3 linked regions of the Coturnix japonica genome follow. The protein of the gene in region 2 purifies or fractionates together with the protein of the main gene of each other region. This does not show direct contact. Links are inferred from orthologs where the notes say so. Each region holds a gene or a part of one and is shown on either strand. Other genes may lie near its edges.

Evidence for each region.
Region 1: the proteins of CLUAP1 (region 2) and IFT46 purify together in Homo sapiens (affinity purification with mass spectrometry; 3 studies listed by BioGRID and IntAct, with this or other methods). This does not show direct contact. The link is inferred for Coturnix japonica from reciprocal best matches to the Homo sapiens genes CLUAP1 and IFT46.
Region 3: the proteins of CLUAP1 (region 2) and IFT27 purify together in Homo sapiens (affinity purification with mass spectrometry; 3 studies listed by BioGRID and IntAct, with this or other methods). This does not show direct contact. The link is inferred for Coturnix japonica from reciprocal best matches to the Homo sapiens genes CLUAP1 and IFT27.

What each region holds. Positions count from the first base shown.
Region 1 is NC_029539.1:4,769,377-4,773,552, reverse strand, and holds the start of IFT46 (intraflagellar transport protein 46 homolog), read right to left. Parts: upstream 2,899-4,176; 5' UTR 2,799-2,898; coding exon 2,496-2,798; intron 2,080-2,495; coding exon 1,940-2,079; intron 1,747-1,939; coding exon 1,672-1,746; intron 1,559-1,671; coding exon 1,465-1,558; intron 1,029-1,464; coding exon 900-1,028; intron 656-899; coding exon 534-655; intron 291-533; coding exon 224-290; intron 1-223. Other genes in the region: ARCN1 (coatomer subunit delta), read left to right, coding at 3,108-3,110. UniProt on the Homo sapiens protein: Forms part of a complex involved in intraflagellar transport (IFT), the bi-directional movement of particles required for the assembly, maintenance and functioning of primary cilia. May play a role in chondrocyte maturation and skeletogenesis.
Region 2 is NC_029529.1:11,260,100-11,263,748, forward strand, and holds part of CLUAP1 (clusterin-associated protein 1), read right to left. Parts: intron 2,746-3,649; coding exon 2,612-2,745; intron 2,378-2,611; coding exon 2,236-2,377; intron 1-2,235. UniProt on the Homo sapiens protein: Required for cilia biogenesis. Appears to function within the multiple intraflagellar transport complex B (IFT-B). Key regulator of hedgehog signaling.
Region 3 is NC_029516.1:47,150,647-47,154,295, reverse strand, and holds part of IFT27 (intraflagellar transport protein 27 homolog), read right to left. Parts: coding exon 3,546-3,649; intron 3,343-3,545; coding exon 3,244-3,342; 3' UTR 1-3,243. UniProt on the Homo sapiens protein: Small GTPase-like component of the intraflagellar transport (IFT) complex B that promotes the exit of the BBSome complex from cilia via its interaction with ARL6. Not involved in entry of the BBSome complex into cilium. Prevents aggregation of GTP-free ARL6.

The sequences.
Region 1 (4,176 bases), on a different chromosome or scaffold from region 2:
GAACAGGGGCTACCTGGGCAGCAGCCAGGCATTCAGACTTTAGGCTGCTCCCATTGTCTGATCAGAACAAAATGTTCAGTGAAGAACAAATCTGAACTGAACAGGGTGCAAGCAAACTGGTCAAAGAGGAAGAGAAATCTAGATTTCAAGTGGGATCATTTTTAATGCTGAGCCCTGAACATTTTTAATTTGTAATGCTGTGCCTGACACTTGGATGCCATACCTTTCCCAAGAGCTCCTCAAATTCTGGTGACCACTCCTGCATGAGGGTCTCTATGTCAGGCATGGGCCTGTAAAGGAAGAAAGAAAAACAGAAACATTAGGATTGCAGGCAAGAAGCTGAAATGGCTTCCTACTGCCATTGCTGTGAATGGGACAGACAGTCTTAGCACTAAGGCTAAAGAAACACGCTAGAACAACTGGCCTGAAACTCAGCACGTCTTATTCCTCTCAGAGACACTGAGATCATCCTGCTCAGTGCTCCTGGACTTTGCCACCCACTGACCTGATGTTCTGCTGACATAATGACTCACCGGCTGTAGTGGACAGTGGCAGGAGGTTTGCAGCGGTGCAGTTCACTGATGTTTTCAATCCAGTTGTCAATGGCTTTGGGGTTCTTCTCTGCATTCTCCACACTTTTCACTTTTATCTGCTGCTGAAACAAAAATAGAAACCTGGAAGCACTTTGTGGTGGTTTTCCTAAGTCTGTACTGAGACTTGCCTGAGGCAGGGCTTAGATACATTTCAGTTTAAAGCTATAGGTCAAAAAGGGTTATTTTTCTGCTTTTAAAGCCAAGTTATCAGTTGTGTTGTGTTGCTATAGTCCCACAAAGAGTAAAGTGCAATGTCTTCATTCTAGCCTGGGTGCAGTAAATGTTTTCTCTCTCCCCATGACTCACTGTAATGTTGTGCTGTTTGGAATTCTCCGTTAGCCAAAGAGAGAGTACTGTGGGATCTGACTGCTTTGTTGATGGCTCATCTAAGACCAGCAGACCGAGGTTATCAGGCTTGCCATCTGGGCGTGGGACCTGCAGGTAAAACACAGAAGGAATCCTCTATGGGAGTAGCAGGGGATGCTGGAACTATTCTGTACAGCTTCTCCCTGTTGTTAGAAATTCAGACTCAATTCAGAAGAAATTTGTAAGCGTGATGCTTTGAAAGAGCAGAAAATACGAGTTGTTAACACAGCGGTACCTGAAATGCATAAGGTGTTGGACAAAGAAACAGGCAGCCCTTGCACCAAATTACATATGTGCTATGTGGGATGTTACCAAAGTGACCAGCCAGGTCATAGTGTTGCTATTTGTGATCTCCTAGGTGTCTACAGCAGTATCTGCAGCACAGGGCAAGGGCACCTCGCTACCACCAGGTCAGTGTGGCTGCAGTCTGCCAGGCTCATATCTAAACCACCTTCTGTTTCACCCTGTGTGTCAGCAGGTATGGGGATATCTGAAAACACTGTACCTTTAGGAAGGCATCAATGTCTCCAACAGCAGGAATGAAGTCTGGAATAAAAGGCTGCAGTTTGTGCTCAATCTGTATTGTTTTCGGAGTGTATCTTGAGAGAGAAAAACAACAGGATTGCATAGTGGGCAATTGACATTTCCTGCCAGAGACAAAGACCTTGAGACAAAGGAGAACCCAGGGCAGGCGAAAGCTCCTTCAACTCACCTCCTTATGTATTCAAAGAGTTCTTTAATTTCAGGAGATACCGGCAGGTAGTCATAGTTTGCGAGGTTGTAGTCACTGAAGAGAGGAAAAGCAATTCTTGCAGACATTACTTCCTATCAGTTTTTGTACAAGAACAAAGGCACGAACATGGATCCAGCTGTGCCCCAAAGCAGAAGCAGGACACTCTCACTGTAAGAGGCTTCCTGTCCGTGCACAACTCTGTTCAACCCTTTTAAGCCACGGGTTCCCGGCTCCCTCCGCTGCTCACCCCTCCAGTGAAGCCCCGCGCTCCTCCGAGTCCTCAGAGTCGCTCTCGGAGGAATCCTCATCATCGTCATCATCATCATCATCATCGTCATCATCGTCGTCCTCGCTGGCGGTGGAGGGTCCCAGCCTGGCCACTGTTTCCTTCAGGGCAGGAGGGACGCGGCCTTACTTACTGTACCGTACCGTGCCGTGCCGTACCGTACTGTACTGTATCGTACCGTATCATACCATACCGTGCTGTACCGTACCGTGCCATACTGTACCGTACCGTACCGTATCGTACCGTACTGTACCGAGCCATACCGTACCGTACCGTGCAGTACCGTTCCGTATCATACCGTATTGTACCATACCATGCCATACCGTACCATACCGTACCATACCGCACCATACCGTACCATACCGTACCATACCGTACCATACCGCACCATACCGTACCATACCGTACCATACCGTACCGTACCGTACCATACCGTGCCATACCGTACCGTACCGTACCATACCGTACCATACCATGCCGTACCGTCCCGTGCCGTACCGCCCCTCTCCCCCCGTACCTTGCTGCTGCTGCTGCCTCCTCCTCCCTCCCGGTCGTTGCCGCGCTCTCCCGCCCCGCTGGGCCGCGCTCCCGTGCCGCCTCCTCCCGACCAGATCGGCCCCGGCCGGCGGGATCCCTGCGGCCGGTTCTCGCTCCCCGCCGCCTCCTCGGTGTCCGGCAGCTCCAGGCTCTCGTCGTACGGCTGGTTCTCCACGGGCCGAGGCTGTGCGGAGGGTCGCGGGGAGGCGATGGCGCGGCCCGGCCCGTCCCCGCTCCCCTCGGCCGGCCGCCGCTCCGCCATGACGCCGCCTTCCGTCGCCATGGCGACCCCGTCTCGCTCTCCCTCTCCCGGCTAGAGCGGCGCCCGCGGCCCGGCCCCGCAGCCGCGTGTGGGTGTCGCCCCCTGCCGGCCGGGGCCGGTACTGACGCGGGCCGCCCCCAGGGCCGCGCTCCGGGTCCTCCCGCCCCGCCCCGCCCCTCGCGTCGTGCGCGGCGCCGCTTCCGGCTGGGGACGTGGCTCGGCGCCGCCATCTTGTGGGGCTGCCCGAGGGGACGCGGAGCCGCGAGGGAGCGAGCGCCGAGCCGAGCGCCGCCGCCATGGTAAGGGTGTGCCCGGCCATGAGCCGCCGCCATGGTAAGGCTGTGCCCAGAGCTCAGCCGCCGCTCGTGGGGCCGCTGCCGGCCGGACCGGGGTCGGAGAGCTCGCGGGGCCTGGCCAGGCCGCTCATCGCTCGGCGGCTCCGCTGCCGTTCTCTGGCCTCGTCCCCGAGCACTGTCGGATCGCTCCGCAGCTCCGCGATGGACCCGGGCCGCTCCAGGCCGTGCTGCCCCGCCGGGTGACGCTGCGCTCCGGGCCCGGACGTGGCGCGGCCTGTGGGAGCCTCCAGCTCCGCTTACCGGGCGCTGCCGCAGGGCGGTTGGGGGGCACTGCCCGCTGTGCGCTGCGTGATGTGTAACGTGGAGGCTGCTTGCAGCGTTAAGGCTGACATCTGTAACCAGGCCTCGTCTCTTGCTGCCTCAGCTGCCAGCTCGGGTGGAGGTCACTTGTGTCCCGTTGGCTGTGGGTGACGTGGAGCTGTGAGCTTTCCGTCCCCGAACGGGACCTGCTGCTTGGTGACAGAGGCCGAGGTGCTGCTGAGATCAGCTGTGCCATTCGGTGCTGTGCTGTGCTGTGCTGCACTCACAGCCCTTTCAAAGAGCAGTTGGGAAATGGAGGCTTATGCCTGTTGCTTTCTTCAAGATATCCCTGACTACAGGGTTCCTATGGCCACTCAATGTACAGCAGTTGCTGGCTGCTCACCTGGCCGTGCTGGGGTTCATGCTTGAAATGTACAGACACTGAAGAACTTCTGGTGCTTCTCATTGTTAGGATACTGTGATTAAAACTGGCTGGGGAGTGAAAGGATCTTACCTTTAGAAACTGCTTTATCTTCACTATGTTAATTAAGAAACTAATCTGTGAGAGAAGTATTTCAGGACGAAGTCGAGGCGGAGAGAATGAGAAAGGGTGAATTGGCAGTTACCTTAATGCCTTTCTATTGTTGGTGTGATAACATCAGTGAAATGCCCAGGAGAACCATCCACGTGCTGTAATTAATATAATGGTCAATATTTTATTAACCCGGCTTAGTTTAAGTGTGGCACTGGGAAGAGATGTCACATTTCAAAGTGTTCTGGTCTTTATTGTGACTTTTCTGCTG
Region 2 (3,649 bases):
ATGAGCAAGAGTGGAGGGCAGACAAATAATTCCAGATTTCTCATATGTTTCAAAGTGTTCCCACATCAAACAGGCAGGTACTCTGCAGGTGGTAATTTCATCATCAATTAACTGTTCAGTTCTGCCAATTCATTTGGCTGAGATTCAATAGCAAGCCTTCAAGATTCTCCTAATACTGGGGGATGTTTCTCAGTGCAGTGCTTGGCAGGAGATACCTGCCAGCTTTCCTCCAGGCAGTGCTCCATGTTACTGCAGACATTGGGTGGGAAAAAGGATGGGAATATCTGGGCTGGATGGGGCTGTGAGCAACCTGGTCCAGGGGTAGGTGTCCCCTAGGGATTGGAATGAGATGATCTTAAGGGTCCCTTCCAACCCAAACCATTCTATGACTATATGAAGCTCAACACCACAACAGCACGGACTGCAGAGTGCAGCTCTCCATGCAGCCATACATTCACCACTTGAAAGAACAAACCAAAGAAACCCACACAGAGAGCCAGCACTGTGGTTTGGAAAGGCCATGCTGCTTCAGCTGCTCAATGTCACTTAATTAAAACTGTGTGCTTGGGTACAATCTTTAAATCACTTTTCTAATTAGGAAATGCACTCTGGCCTATGTCATTAGCTGTGCAACGTCAGCAGGGTACCAAAACAGCTTTGAGGCTAAGGGCACTAAAGATTAGTCTCATTATTCAGCAATGGCCTCTCAATCAGAATACAAGTTCTTCTCAAAAACATTCAATGAGTCAAAGAAAGGGGTCCGGGAATCAGTTCTCAGTACTGAACAGTACCTAGAGTGCTGGATTAATCTAATTACATTGCCCTTGCTTTTTCCTAGCAAGCTGTTTAACAAAACGCATGGCAATGATAGAAGAGTTGACTCGCGCTTCCACTACAGAAGATAATTAAGATTTGTTTGGTGGAACAAAAGACAAATACAACTAGAAAAAAAATAACACAACTTCCAGTGTGTTTAACAGCTCAAGAGGCTGCACACTGTAACAGATTAAATCCAATTATCCTTGTTATGCTTCCTCTGTTGATTCTGAAAATGACACAGATGATAATCTCAAAGACAGCATCCGTTTGGAGCAAACTGCTTATGTTCAAGCTTGAAATAAGGCACCCCCTGTTCTGCTTCATGACCTTATAGCTGTAGGTCTAGATGTGAGTGGAAAACTCGATGCTGATTGCAGCCAACACAATGCATTTAAAGATGCACAGGTAACTTTATCACTTGAGATCATAGTAAGAAACAACCCAGTGCAGAAGAACATTCCAAATGCAGAAGACTAAACGGTATTTTAACATCAAGCACATGTTAATTAAAGATGCTGCCAGTTCTGATGCTTGCTAATACATACCACAAATAACAAGTAACAGAAGTAGGCACAAAATCCACATCTTTTTGTCATGGCCCTTTACACACTTTAATTCTGGACAATGCTGAAGTATTGCCGAGTGCTTATCATAATGGATGAAAAGCCAAAGTATATGGGTGGATTCTCTAGGTTTCTCATAGAAGGAATAAGCAGAGGTAGAAGAAAAGCACTCTTCAGATTCTAATCACAGAAACACTCCTGAATGACAAAGGCTTTTCCCTCATCTTATTATCTCTTAATAAAAACTCTCTCAAGAGCTGTAAGCCAAGGCATTACTAACTTCTGTACATGAATTCATAAGCAGTTCCAGGTACTCATATTCAAAACATTTCTACTTTTGGTATTAAGTCTCAACGACATTTGAACAGAAGGGAAAAAAATAATCAGATTTTAGGTGTAATTTCTGGATTAGGATTTAATAGACTTTTTATTTTTTATTTTTTTTTGGCCAAAGATATGGGGAAGAACTAAGAGCATTATTAAAGCAAGATGTGAAAACATTAAGCCCAGCCCGATGGTTGGTGACCCTGCATATAACAGGGGGGTTGAAACCGGACGAGCATCGTGGTCACTTTCAACCCAGGCCATTCTATGATTCTATGATCAAAAAATGTCATTTGAAAGAATCAAGGAAAGTGAGACTGGAAAGAGGCATCATTACACTGGTTTAACTTCACCAACTGAAAAAGCAAAGGTGTATCATGTTTGTCTGAGAGCTGTCACTTTATATCAGTGAACTGCCAGTCATTCTGAGCTGGTTCTACAACAATTAACAGGTATTACAGCACTTTCTGCTATATGGCCAAGGCCTACAGAGCACAGAGTCTTGCTGAGCACTTCTAAGCTGCTTTACCTCAAACATCTCCTGCTCAGTCCGATGTTGATCGTCCAAGAGCTGCTCCAGGTAGGTCAGGTTATGGAATTTTTCTAGGTAGGTAGTGTATTGCTTCTGCAGCTGCTCTTCAATTTTCTCATATTCATCCATAAAAGCAGGACTGGAGACAACAAGAACAAACTACTCAGAGAAATACAGATCTGTACGTGAAGAATTCTGCAACAACGTTTTCATTTTCACAGCTGTTTTTCCATGTCTACAAAACCAATCTAAAAGGACCTTCTCTTTTTAAAGTTTCACACTACTTCAAGACTAAAAGCATAACAGGAAGGAGTAGTAACCTATCCTGTGAAAATTTGACATAGAAAATGAATAATCAGTTTATAATCTTTACCGAACGCTCTGTAGGGTCTGCAGCCTCTTCTGGCTTCTTTCCAGCTCCAGTTTCCTTTTTTCAATCTTGGCTTCCAAGTTGGCTTCGTCCAAAGCCACATTACTCAACATGTCCTTTGTCTTTTGGACCTCTTCCTAAAAGGGAAGGATGGTGTAGAATTATCTTTCAGATGCTGATAATGCTTCTGCATTATCTCTTACTGCATTCTTTCAAATAACTTTATAACAATGAGCTAGAAGATAAACCAGCAAAGCAATGACAATATTTTTTTTCTGTGGCCAGGATAATGAACCGTGTGGACATTTACCAATTAGAATACCTGCTTTTTTCTCCAAACATTTTTAAAGAAAGAAAAGAAACCAACACCCACAAAAAAGTCACTTTAAAAAAAGAAGTCAGTCTATCCCATTGCCTTCACCCTTCTCTGAGTCCTGCTGTATCTACCTTTTCCAAATCCAGGAAGTATCCCAAACATCATAACACATTACAGGAATAAGGAGGGGAAAGTGGAGATATTTCAGACTGTTTAAACAAATGAGTACATTCAGTGTGCTCGTGCTCCAGGAACTGTGATGAGTAAGGGGGACAGAGAACTTCTGCGGAAGCTCTAGCAGTAATTGCTACGTGCTGTTCAGCTACAATAGGTCATTTCAGTGACAGGTCCAGAACTAAACCAGCTGAGGTATGTGCTAAATTGATATTCCCAAGACGCCAATTGCTCTAATATTTTCCTGTTAATTTATTAGCACTACTGCCTAGAATATCCACACACATTAACAGCATTTAAAGTTCACATGGACTGCAAGCAGGAAGAGAAATATAAGGAAAGATTGCCTGAAGCATCTATTGATTATGCACTGGCTTTTTAAACCTGGAACTCCGTGCCTTGTAATTACAGAACTGGATTGGATACAGTTTGCAGCTAAATAACTTGCATTATTCACTAGGATTTAATTAACTACTACACTTGCACAGTACCTACCAGGGCAGCTAGTGGTTCAGAGATACAGAGCCCAAGTACTGGAGCAAGAACAGCAT
Region 3 (3,649 bases), on a different chromosome or scaffold from region 2:
AGATGGTTAAAGGCCTGCTTGCTTCTTCTCCTGTCTTTTGAAATTTCAGTTCTGGCTGAATTAGGGTTCTTCTGGGTTCTAAGCACGCATGCTGAACACACAGAATCATGGAATGGTCTGGGTTGGAAGGAACCTCAAGGATCATCAAGCTCCAGCCCCCTTGCTGCATGCAGGGCTACCAACCTCCATATCTAATAATAGATCAGGATGCCCAAGGCCCCATCCAACCTGGTCATGAACACCTCCAGGTACAAAGCGTCTACCTCTCTGGGCAGCCTCTGCCAGCATCTCACCACTCTCTTGGTAAACAACTTACCCATGACATCCACCTTAATTCTTTCCTCCTTGAACTTAAAACCATTTCTTTTTGTCCTGGCATTATCTATCCTTGTAACACCTACAGCACTGCATACCTAGACAAAGTAGGAGAGCTATAAGAAGACAACAATGGCCAGCAGACATGATTTCTGCCTTTCTCCCACTGTCTCCCGCAGCACCTGTAATTCAGGGAGATACAAAGGCTATAAGCAACAAACAAACATCCTCACTTCATAAACAAATTTTTTCCACAGCCTGTTTGTATCTGACTCCCATGGTCTCCACTCACCCTTCACTATTGGTCTCTATAACTACGGTCACAAATGAACTAGGAAAATAGTATCACCCACATCACGCTACTGTTACACAGCCTAGTAGCTAAAAAAGACAATATATTATGCTTTCAAAATCCATTCAGACGATGGAGATGGTAATGAACAAACACAGTATTTTGAAGGATGTTAAATTATGACTACTTTAGTGCTTGAAATGAAGAGCAAGGTGGGCTATGTGCTTCTGACACAACCTCTTCTCTAATTCAAGTCTTGGCCTGCAGAAAGAAGGAAAGGGGCACCAGATGAATCCCTACTGCTAGCTAATTAGATCATACATTTTCTCACTTGGGCAATATATCTTCCCCTGCATAGGATGCATTTTTCTTCACTAACCTATCAAAAGCAGCTTCCCAATAAATCACAAATCACCACCAGCACTCCCTTAATGAGATCCTCCAGCTTTTGTGTTCATTTAATAAAACAATGTTCACCAATCTTACTGGTGCATTTAAGCTGTTTATTTGAAGTTATGGGAGGTCTTTCTGGTGCAGAGAGATTAAACTCACCCGTTAAAGGTGATCGTTCAGGACTCATTTCATCACCCATTCCTAAGGCATTCACCTCCCTGCCCCCATCTATCACATCACAGGTGGCAGACACACCTGGTATTCTATTTTCAAGATGAAAAAAAAAAGTCTTGTGTTGCAATCATATCATCAGTAGAAGCAGGGGAAAATGAACTACCTCCTTTAGATCAGCTCAACATCCAAAATAACTGTTATTCCTAATAGTAAGAGGTACAAGCATGTGCAGGCAAACTTCCATTCAGTCTATTGTAAATCAACACACACCCTCAGGATTAACAAGGCAACACATGTAAGTTAAAGCCAACCCAAGCCTAAAGAAGGTGAGTTGTGTCTAGTGACCCTAAGCCCACAGAGGAGTCCTCCTTTTCTTGAAATAAGAGCTTTCCCCAGCTAGTTCTGTCACCTTTTTCCAAGTGGATTTGTAAAAACAAAACAAAACAAAACAACAACCTATTCATTTTCTTTTCCAGCAGGCTCAGTGCCTGCTTAACCTCTAGACTGTATTCATGCTCCCTAGCTAATTCCCAGCATCAACATAGTGTTGCCAGTAAAATGAGCCCAGCTGCTATTCCAGATTCTTGAAGTGCTTCATAAACTCTGCTACAACATCTGCAGTCATATTCCTAGCACTGGGCATAAAAGTGGTTATAAAATATACGTATAAAAATATTGAAACACAGATTCCTGAAAAGCTTGCCTGAAAAACTACTTACTGTTTATTCTCCTCAGAAATTAGCCTTCCTTACCCAGGGGAGGCTAAAATAGTTCTGGAAGAGGGGAAATGTTACAGTTTAGAACTGCAAGGCAGTACTTAACTGGATGTTTTCACATACTGCATTAGCAAATATTAGCAATTCTTATATATGCAATGTCAACATCTCACACAGAGTGTTCTGTCCATGCCTTTACCCTTTGATACAAAACTTCCAGCTATACATGGCTGAATCAAATTCACTTAGCCAGTTTGTCTTTTATTTCCTGAGTCCTGTTTCCACTTCTGAAATCAGAATAGCTTGTTCTTTGAAATGCAAGGATAAGCAGGGAAAGTTTAACAACAAAGATGATTGATTCTAGTAAGGGATTGAGAACTAAGCCTAATGAGAACATGATGTTGCTAAGTTCAGCTGACAAGATACAAAATGAAATAAAACCAAATAAAATAACAAGCGCATGAAGAAGAAATGGCAATTTCCGTTTTAGACTTGCCCCTGGAATAAAAGAGGTATTCTCACCATATGACTCCATTTTACAGATAAGCCAATTTGGCTAAGACTGTGTGAAGTCCTTGCTTCAACAGAGCAAGCTGCTCCAGAAATTTTGTGACCGAGGGCCAGCAGAGGGCACTGCGTTACCAATTGACAGTGGTATAGATGCAAGACAGACCAGCAGTGGAAGAGCCTCGTTGAAGAAAACCAAATTCTAGTCATTAAAAAGAGATGTTAGTCATCACTATATCAATCCTAGAACTGATAAGAATAACACTGTTAAAATAGGTCTCAAATTGTGGGTGCTCCCACAAACACACCTAAATCCAATTCAATCCCCACACATCTGAGACGCTACGCGTCCATTTTAGGCCACAGACTTTCAACTGAAAATGCTTAGCAAGTAGTAGGGCTGAATCAGTCCTGCCCTGCGATGTATGTACCAGTGCTGGGTTGCTTAAGCAAAAAAGTATCCTGCCAGCTTCCCATCTCCTCCTTCAAATCTCTACATCCTTGCTTGTAGCAGCAGAAAGTTTGTTCAGACATGAGACAAGGCACTATTAACAAGGCAAAAAGCTGGCAATTTCCATTCTGCCTTCCCCCTTCTATTCCCTGCCTTCTCCAACCTAACAGACTTTCAGTTAGCAAAGAACCGAGGTAACAGACATGAAGGTGATGCTAAGGTAGCAGTTCCAAAACAATGTCTGTCCACTCACTTATTTCTAGTTTATTTTGAATTACCAGAAGATGACCGCGAAGAAGCAAAAAGCTCATCTTTTTTCCTCTCTCTGTATTCCAGTCCATAGGATTCTGGGCACTAGAAGAAGCTCTGAAGATAAGTCATCCCAGTCATGGCCCTCAAGCCAGTGAATGAAAGATTTCCACTTTTTCTTTGTACAGCTGGTAAAATGACTTTGCCAGGATGTTGAAAGGGGCCTCAAAATTTTTCATCTCCTTCTGTAGAAAGAAAATTGTAAATGACAGATAACTAAGCATTTCACTATTTCTGTTCAAACAGCTTCACAAAAGAGACTAAAACTGAGGGTGAGTTAAAGGACAAATAAGTGGAAATGAGTCCCCAGTCATTTACCCTCAGCTGAAAGAGAAGATAACTTCACAAATTCCCACTTCTATAGAAGGCGAAAAGAGCAGATACTCACTACTGACATCTCACAGTATTCCAGGCCGTGTTTGTCAGCCCATTCCTGCGCTTGTTTCTGTTCCACAACTCGACGACCAACCAGATCTGTTTTATTCCCCACTA